Linked DNA regions of Chlamydomonas reinhardtii. The main gene of each other region encodes a partner of the protein of the gene in region 2 in a complex. Links are inferred from orthologs where the notes say so. Each region holds a gene or a part of one and is shown on either strand. Other genes may lie near its edges. The genes, in order: CHLRE_12g492300v5 and CHLRE_10g434450v5.

Region 1 (3,812 bases), on a different chromosome or scaffold from region 2:
CTGGTCTTGCCGCCCGGAGCAGTTGGGTTCGGCGCCTCCAACACCGCAACGGCATTACGAAGCGACGGGGGGAGCGTGACGGGCGTCGCGGGGTCGGAAGCCTGCGCGCAAGGGTGGAGCGATGTTTACTTGTCGAGACCTTTTCACCAGAGATGAACTTAGATCTACCGCACCTTTGGCGCAGCGCTCAGTGTTGCTGATGCAGAGCACATCATAGAACTCCCGCGGGCGCGAGGTGCAGCGCCCGAGCGGAATGCGCCACGACAGCGTCCATTCTCTGCACTCCGCACTCCTTGTTTGGATCCGTGAAGCATTTCGAGTACCCAATATTAGCAAGCGATAGATTCAAGATTGGATTTATGCCAAGAGTGCAAGTAGACGTTTCTGGACTCTTGCTCAACTCGCCCGCGGTCCTGTTACCTCTCTATACATGAATGTGTTATTCTATTGTTTTCCTACGACGGCCGAGCTGGATTGTTGACCAGCTTGCCATTGGCTTGGCTGCATCCGCCCTGTCCCCCGTCAGCCGCTGCCCCTGCCAGCTCCCGCTTCCCTGCGTTTGCCACGGCCGTTGGTATGCTGCAACGGAACAGGAGACCAAACGCAACCGTCATGCTACGACGATATCGGATGGCGCCTTCTCCCCACGCACTCAGCACCGAGCGACAGCAGCCTCCGACCGTGTCCCCATTGGAACCGCACTCAGCATTACCGCTGAAACACAATTCACCAGACCCTGTCCCGACGTCGCATGCATGGCACATCGACGCAGCGTGACCAAGCCATTTACATGCAGACTAGTTCTCATTGACCAGGCCCACTACCGGGCCTACCATGTTCATCACGCCTAACTTCATCTGCACCGATTAGCGCCAAACCGCTGCACCTCATTTCATACCCAAGCATGTGCTTCCACAAAGAAGCCTATAGTATACACTGTCTGCCACCTGTAATAGGTTGCTAAGCTAATGCAATAAGCCTTCTCCACAACAGGAGAGTACACGGCGCCACTGTGCCGCACGCCACAACGCCAAGCTAGTTCCCCCCAGTTATTTCCAAGCCCGCCGTGCACACCCCTAAGCGCCTCCCCGCCTGCCGCTTCCAGCATACAGCTCCTGTGGCCCTGGGACGCTTAAGCTGAGACAGCCGTGCGTAACGAGCAACAGCCGTGCCCCCACTGGTTCCGGCCGAGAGAGCGCCTCCCCAGCGCTGACATCCCTCCAACCGCCGCTTTTCTGCTGCTGCTGCGCCTGCGCGCAGCGGTTCCAAGCTCCTGCGCCAGCTGCTTACTTCTTGTACCAGATCTGCACGGTGGGTACGGGGTTCATGCAGGCCGAGGGAGTGCGGTGGATGTAGGAGGCAGTGGCTTGGGAGCTGCGCAACCTCCCGGGAGGACACGCTGCATGGACAGTCGCTGCATGCGTCCAAACCAAGCGCATCACCATAAAGCCCAATCAGTCCCGCGGACGCGGCATGCCCCGGGCAGCAGCAAGGACGCACCGAGCTCGCCTCCCTGCCCCCCAAACCCCTTGGCACGTGGGCCGTTCAGTAGGGCCGTTCAGTTGGCTGGTGCCGGCCCTAGAACCGCCGCATCCGTTTGTGCAAGCACACACCGCTGGTTGCCTATATTCCATCCATCCACCTCCGCAAATCACTCTGCGCACGCCTACGCTCCGTCTCCCCCTCGCCACGTCCCCCCTCCACGCCCATCCCCTGCCCTGCTCACCTGCGTGGTCTTTGACCGGTAGATCTTCTTCTGCAGCTGCAGGAGGCCGTACAGCAGGCCCTCCGCGGTGGGCGGGCAGCCGGGCACATACACGTCCACGGGCACGACACGGTCGCAGCCGCGCACAACCGCGTAGGAGTAGTGATAGTAGCCGCCACCGTTCGCGCAGCTGCCCATGGACACCACCCACTTGGGCTCAGGCATCTGGTCATACACCTTGCGCAGCGCGGGCGCCATCTTGTTTGTGAGTGTGCCCGCAACAATCATGGCATCGGACTGGCGTGGCGAGGGACGGAAGATAATGCCGTAGCGATCAAGGTCATAGCGTGAAGCGCCAGCATGCATCATCTCCACCGCGCAGCAGGCCAGGCCGAAGGTCATGGGCCAGATGGAGCCCGCACGCGCCCAGTTCACAACGTTGTCCACCTTGCTGACCACAAACTCCAGGCCCTTAGCAGCTGCTGCGGGCTTCGACATGATTGCGACCTGCAGTGAACGGAGACCGCTGTTTGGCTCCTCTGCGACCACGTCGCGAGTGAAAGCACTGTCTCTGCACCGCAAACGCCACTTGCCTGCTAGCAGCTCCTAATGAAAGGTATCGTAAAGTAAGCCGGGGCCAAAGGCTCAAAGCGTAGCGCAAAAAACGAAATTAGCCGGGACGACGTCGAGTTCCACGGCCAAAAAAAGCGAATATATCCCTTCCAATCGGCTGTCTGTGCCTTCTGCAGGGCATCTGATAGTTGCCGGGACGTGGGATGGGCAGTGGCATGCGGGCATAGTGCGGTCCCCCCCACGTTGGCTGCCCGCCGCCCCGTGCCGCGCTGTGACTCACCAGCGCTGGCCTGCTACGCCCCCCACACACCAACCTCTGCACGTAGCCACAACGTTACAGGCTGCACCTCCACGGTCTCAAGCCTTGTCCCTGGCCTCCCCTCATTGACGGACTCATCCCAACGGCATGGAATCCCCCACCAGCCTTAACCTTGTCCCATAGCACACGCAGTGCCTACACCGCAACCCATAGCGCGACCGCCCCAACGGGAGCCACGGCGTGTACCGACTACGGACGAACTGAACAGCTCCCTAAAGACCGCGCAACAGCTCCCTAAAGCCCGCGCAACCGTCACTGCACCGATGTTGGGCGCCGCACCAGCGGTCCCTGCATGGGTCCTCCTCACCTGCAGTTCATCTCCTGCGGCGGCCCAGTCTCTGTGCAGGGCCCGCCTCCGCCTGCTGCTCGATTGCCACTGCAAACAACATCGGCAACGGTCCTCTACCGCTCAGCTATATTGTGTATCACCAATGCATCCGCGCTGCGGAAACATGACCGGCCAGCGCGCTGCGAGTCCACTGCCCACGCACCACGACCCCGGAACATGTGAAGCAAAACTGGGGCTAGGTTCACTGACAACAACGAAAGTGCAAAACGGCGAGCACATACGACCTTCGACGAAACTGCCAGTACCAGTCTGGGCAGCCCTGATGCTGCTCTGTTTAAAACTCCCGACACATCCACAACTCGACCCTAGTACCATGCCCTACAGCTGCACCGCCAACACTGAACCGCCACAAACTGGCGCCTAGCGCCGAGACACCAGCCGGCCTCCTGACGCACCCCGCTGTGCCGCCGCCGCCGACGACGAGGATGACACAGACGCAGCCTGTTGCAACCTAGAGCCAGTGCTGCTGCTCCTGCCAGCATTGACCTCCCCGGCTCCCTCCGCCTCCTCTGCCACGCCTGACGCAGCTGGCCCCGCCGGCCCCGCTGCCGCGGCGATGCGCAGCGGCACGTGGAATGTGTAGAAGTCGGATGCTGCGGTGATGGGCGGCGGCGTCTTGCGGGGACCCCACGCCTCGGCGGCCTCGCGTATAAGCGCCCGGATCTCGTACGACTGCTGCTCCAGCTCCAGGCGGCCCGTGGCGCGAGACTCGCGGTCCTGAGGGTGTTGAGGAGAGGGAGGCACGCCGGCATATTACAGGCTTGAGCCAACTAGCTACAGCAGGCAGATACCGGTACAATGCGTCCACACGTAAACTTGAATCTCGACTGTCCTTCGGCCCAACCCTCGCCTTGGCCCCTCGTCGC
Region 2 (4,379 bases):
CGCCCTCACTGCTTGATGTTGTAGTACTTCCGGACCGACTCCGGGATGTCCTTGGCCACCGCCGACATATCGCCCCACCTGCAGCAACCATGAACAGGTCCGCGTGGATGAGTCTGTGCCACGTGTCCACTCTGCGAAACTCAAGCTTGTCTCGCCTGCTCCCTCCCCCTTGTCCCTCCCTGTACCCCGCACCCAAGCCGCAACCACCCACCGGTAGCCTCCCACGCGCGCGTGGCGCACGGGCTCAATCGCCAGGCCGTCCGTGACCTTCTGCGGCACGATGCCCAGGTCGGCATAGCCCAGAGCGCCCGCCGGCACCACCTTGTCGCGCAGCATCTCCTCCACGTAGTCTTCCGTCGCCAGAGGGCTGGTCATGGGCAGGCCCGGCAGCTGCGGCAGGCGAGGCGGAGGACAGGAGGCGGCGGGTGGAGATGACCGAGGGGAGCGGAGGGATACAGGGAGCGGAGGGAGGGCAGGCGCACAGAGACAAGGTCAGGCAGGCAGCAGTGTACTGATACAAGCGCACGAATTGGACTTGACCCAACCCGACGGCTGCCCACGCACCATGCGGCGCACAGAGTCGAAGGGCTTGTACATGGCCTTGACGGCCCAGGCGGGCAGATGCACGGTGTCGTCGCGGTAGATGCGCAGCGTCTTGAGGAGCAGGTCGTACACCTCACGCATGCTGCACACGCACCGAGGTGAGCGGACCACAATACGGGTCAGTCGGGTCAGCCTTAAGGCGGCTCATTTGCATAAGGCTACAGCCTTCCTCGCTCCCAAGCCTGAGACCTAGGCGCATCCCGGGCCGGCCGTGCAGGCCGCTGCAGCTGCGCTACCCTCACAGCCCGCCCACTCACGTGAGCACCTCGGGCCCGCCCAAGTAGAGGGTCTTGCCCGCGGTGTCGGGCTTGCGCAGCAACGCCGCCACGGCGTCCGCCACGTCCAGCACGTAGGTGGGCTGGATTTTGTTGGAGCCCGACTCCACCACGGGCGCGAACACCGTCAGCGTGAGCTGGTAGATGAGGTAGTTGTAGAAGTGGTCCTCAATGCCCACGATGTCGCCGGGGCTGGGGAGGGGGAAATGCGGGCGGGCGGACAGCGGTCCGTAAGAGGGTGGGCAACCAGTACGGCATGCGGCGCAAAACGCGACGGAAAGGAGAACACAGGCCGCCGAGACAACACGCCGTGCCCGTGTGTCCCCGGCGCTGACGCAATGTCTCATGCTTTTCATCGCATCCCGCAGACCCGCATATGCAACAGGTAGGCACGCAGGCTCACCGCACGATGGTGGCGTCCGGGAAGGCGTCCAGCACCTCCTTGTCGCCCACCGCCTTGGTGCGCATGCGCAGGGACTTGTGGTTCTCGTCTGCGCCCATGTCGCTGAAGTGGATCAGCCGCTGCACCTGGCCCGTCTCCGCCGCCAGCCTGCAAGCATCAAGCGCACGAGCAACATGAACAGCAGGTGGGGAATAGGTGCCTGGTGCACGGCATGCATCCTGGGGACCGTGGGTCGCGCGCAGTTGCCCTCCCGTGTCAACCGCCCCTGAGCTGCGCGCTCTACACCACGTGCCGCTGCCACTGGAAGCTCGTGACGGGTGCCATTTCGGGAGTATGCATCCCGGCGGTAAAAGAACACTTAACACGCAATGCCTACTGCACTGAACGTCGCGCATGGTAGAACTGCCCTAAAGCTCCCACAGGCTACTATGGCTGCCCCTGACCTGAACCCTCTCATCAGTCTTCACCCCCGTCCGCTCTGTCCGTCTTCCGCTCTCTGTGTTGGACCCGCTGCCTCCCGCGCCTTGCGATTGATGCTCGCTGCGCCCGGCCCTGCTCACTTCGCCAGGCGCTTGGGGAAGTCCACGTGCACGTCCTCAAACGACCAGTTCTTAGTCTGAAGGCGCATGCCCACGCAGTTAATGATAACATTCGAGCGGCTAATAGCACGCTTGATGTCGTCATCGTTGCGAATGTCCAGCTCCGGCAGCAGCACAATCTGCATAGCAGGACCACGGCGTTGGGGGCGGGCTCCATTAACCGTGCCACGCTGCCCCTTGCTGCGGCTTTCTGCCCTTCCCCACCCATTCCTGCACATCCCTCCCCCCCACACACACATGGCCACATGTGTCTCCTCCCACAGCCCGCACCTGGCCCAGGTCGCCCATTTGCTTTAGGTGCATCGCCTCGTTCTCCGTGCTCCGGAAGGGGCACACCACCTGAGAGCCGCGCTTGGCGAGCTCGTTGACGATGTACGAGCCCAGGAATCCGTTTGCACCGAAAACGGTGGCAGTAATGCCGCTTACCTGCGTTGGGGAAAGCAAGGAGGCCAAGGCTCAAGCAATGCCCGCTACTGATTGTGCCCGCAGGCCCCTGCTGCCGCGCCAAAGCCCCTACGCACCGACGAGCGACCTCCAGGGCCAAGCTTATCCGCAGTCATGAGCGTGCTGCTGTAGTCCCGGCTGGACTGAGACGCAGCAGCAGCCCAGCGCAGGCCTGTGCCAGCGAAAGAAGCACAGTATTAGCTTCATATCCATTGCACTGAAAGGCTGCTCAGGCTGCGCTGATGCGTCTGCACGCGTGACTAGCCCCTCGCCAAGACGTGCATTGTCCTCCCAGCGCCTGTAACGGGAATACGCCCACACCTGCAAGGCGGGCCAGCGCCGACCCGGCTGCGTTGCGCCCAAGGATGGGCAGCATTTTCAACCGGGGCTACCCAAGCAAATGGCACTCGCCAGGACCCCCCTGTAATCTGTGCAGCCCAAAATGCCGCAATTGAAATACCGAAAAGAAGCAAGTATGAAGCAGGGGATGCGGCGTGCATGCAAGTGCGGGCTCGGTCGCTCCGTCGCTGGAGCAGGGATGAGCTCGAGTCGTCGATGCTTTCCCCCCTGCGTCAACTGTCGCTGGTAAAAATTTAGCTTCTGACCATACGTTATGAGACTTGATTAATACAGCTTGACCTTGCTTGCGAGTTTGCTTGGAAGAGATGGCCATTTCGTGATAGGCTCTACAGAGCCAAAGTGCCGGAGCCATGGCACCAAAGCCTAAGAAGCCAGAGGCTGCGCCTCCTCCACCGCCGGAGCCATCCCCTGACGACAACGTGAGGGAGCGGGGCATTTTGTCTTTTGTCTCTTAGAGCCGGGACTCCGAGGACGCGCCTTGCCGCGGCCCCTGCCGCGGAAGCCTAATTGACAACATTCAAACTTGGATCGCATATGAATGGCCGTCCTTAGCGGGGTTTCTGGAGACGGTGTCCGCACTCTAGCGCTGCGACACGCCCTTTTCCCTACCCTTAACGAGCCCGCGGCTTCATGAACCGGCAATTCCCGCCTGTCCTCTGCCCCGCAGCTGCCGCAAGACATCAAGGAGCTGACGGAGTGCCCATTTGAGGTCACTTGGAAGCCCGTTGTCTCTATCGTGGACTATGGCGTGGGTGCGGACGCGAAGGGCATCCAGGCCACGCTGAAGCGGAAGGAGCTAGCGCGCTACATTGTCCTGCATGAGGCGGTGCTTCGGTTGGATCCTGCCACGCCTCTGGGGCAGGAGGCTAAGGCCGTCCTAGATGCCCACATAGCAGCTGGCCAGGGGCCGGAAACATGCACGTAAGTTGACTGCTGGTGGGGGAGGGTTTGGCATGCCGCGCCAGTTGGGTCAGAGGTGCAGGTGGGCGCCTTGCTTGGCGGCAAGATACAAGTCTCCCAGCACCCATCCTCCAGCGTAGAACTGGCTCGAGAACATGTGCACAACCTTCCCCGCAGTTTTGGCCCGGAGCTGAGCTCCAAGCTGCTGGCCGACAAGTTTGCTCGCGACCAGCTGGCGGACTGGCGCGTGGAGCTGCACCGCCGCCGCACGCGGCTGCAGGCGGCTCAGGACGACGCCACCGCGGCGGCGGCGGGGCTGACAGCTGCACATGAGGCCGTGAAGGCCGCGGGAGAGGCGCTGGCGGCGTACCACCGCGGCGTAGAGGAGGAGGAGGCGCGGAAGGCGGCGCAGCGCGCCGAGGAGGGCGAGGAGGAGCCGCCGACGCCGCTGGATGACGAGGAGGGCGCGGCGCCGGTAGAGCGGGAGGCGCCGGCGGAGGAGGTGGCGCTGGAGCAGGCGAAGGCAGCCGTGGTAGCGGCGGAGGTACAAGTTAGGGAGACCGGTGAGTATGGGTGGAAAGAGGTAGGCGGGCATGGGGCTGGGGCGCGCAGCTGAGCGGAACAACACTAGTTCCGCTGGTTGAGGCTAAGCCCGCTATCATCATATCCGTTTGCATTGCGCGCTGACGCTGTATTATGCTGGGCTGCTGACTCCTGCGCAGCCGAGACTGCGTCCCGGCTTGCGGCCGTCCAGAACGAGCCGTTCGTGTGCTATCAGACCTACATCCTCAGCGG

Evidence for each region.
Region 1: the proteins of CHLRE_10g434450v5 (region 2) and CHLRE_12g492300v5 are in contact, whole or in part, in a cryo-EM structure (PDB 8BEE), measured with the Arabidopsis thaliana proteins. The link is inferred for Chlamydomonas reinhardtii from reciprocal best matches to the Arabidopsis thaliana genes AT2G20360 and AT5G11770. Residues at the interface, in NP_565469.1 of Arabidopsis thaliana: Arg100, Gly101, Ser102, Glu103, Asp104, Arg107, Lys110, Leu111, Lys122, Thr151, Arg152, Asn153, Phe154, Pro330, Phe331, Pro332; in NP_196738.1 of Arabidopsis thaliana: Arg140, Glu148, Arg150, Trp151, Asp176, Arg177, Ile178, Val179, Pro180, Val181, Asp182, Lys205, Arg208, Arg209, His214, Trp215, Trp216, Asn217, Lys218.

What each region holds. Positions count from the first base shown.
Region 1 is NC_057015.1:623,089-626,900, forward strand, and holds CHLRE_12g492300v5 (uncharacterized protein), read right to left. Parts: upstream 2,469-3,812; 5' UTR 2,299-2,468; intron 2,213-2,298; 5' UTR 2,204-2,212; coding exon 1,727-2,203; intron 1,305-1,726; coding exon 1,287-1,304; 3' UTR 775-1,286; downstream 1-774. Other genes in the region: CHLRE_12g492350v5 (uncharacterized protein), read right to left, coding at 1-101, 174-212; CHLRE_12g492250v5 (uncharacterized protein), read right to left, coding at 3,307-3,663. UniProt on the Arabidopsis thaliana protein: Core subunit of the mitochondrial membrane respiratory chain NADH dehydrogenase (Complex I) that is believed to belong to the minimal assembly required for catalysis. Complex I functions in the transfer of electrons from NADH to the respiratory chain.
Region 2 is NC_057013.1:2,276,597-2,280,975, reverse strand, and holds the start of CHLRE_10g434450v5 (uncharacterized protein), read right to left. Parts: upstream 2,809-4,379; 5' UTR 2,701-2,808; coding exon 2,646-2,700; intron 2,497-2,645; coding exon 2,402-2,496; intron 2,307-2,401; coding exon 2,151-2,306; intron 2,000-2,150; coding exon 1,842-1,999; intron 1,429-1,841; coding exon 1,282-1,428; intron 1,071-1,281; coding exon 861-1,070; intron 686-860; coding exon 565-685; intron 391-564; coding exon 212-390; intron 79-211; coding exon 6-78; 3' UTR 1-5. Other genes in the region: CHLRE_10g434400v5 (uncharacterized protein), read left to right, coding at 3,035-3,103, 3,352-3,605, 3,762-4,147, 4,307-4,379. UniProt on the Arabidopsis thaliana protein: Accessory subunit of the mitochondrial membrane respiratory chain NADH dehydrogenase (Complex I), that is believed not to be involved in catalysis. Complex I functions in the transfer of electrons from NADH to the respiratory chain.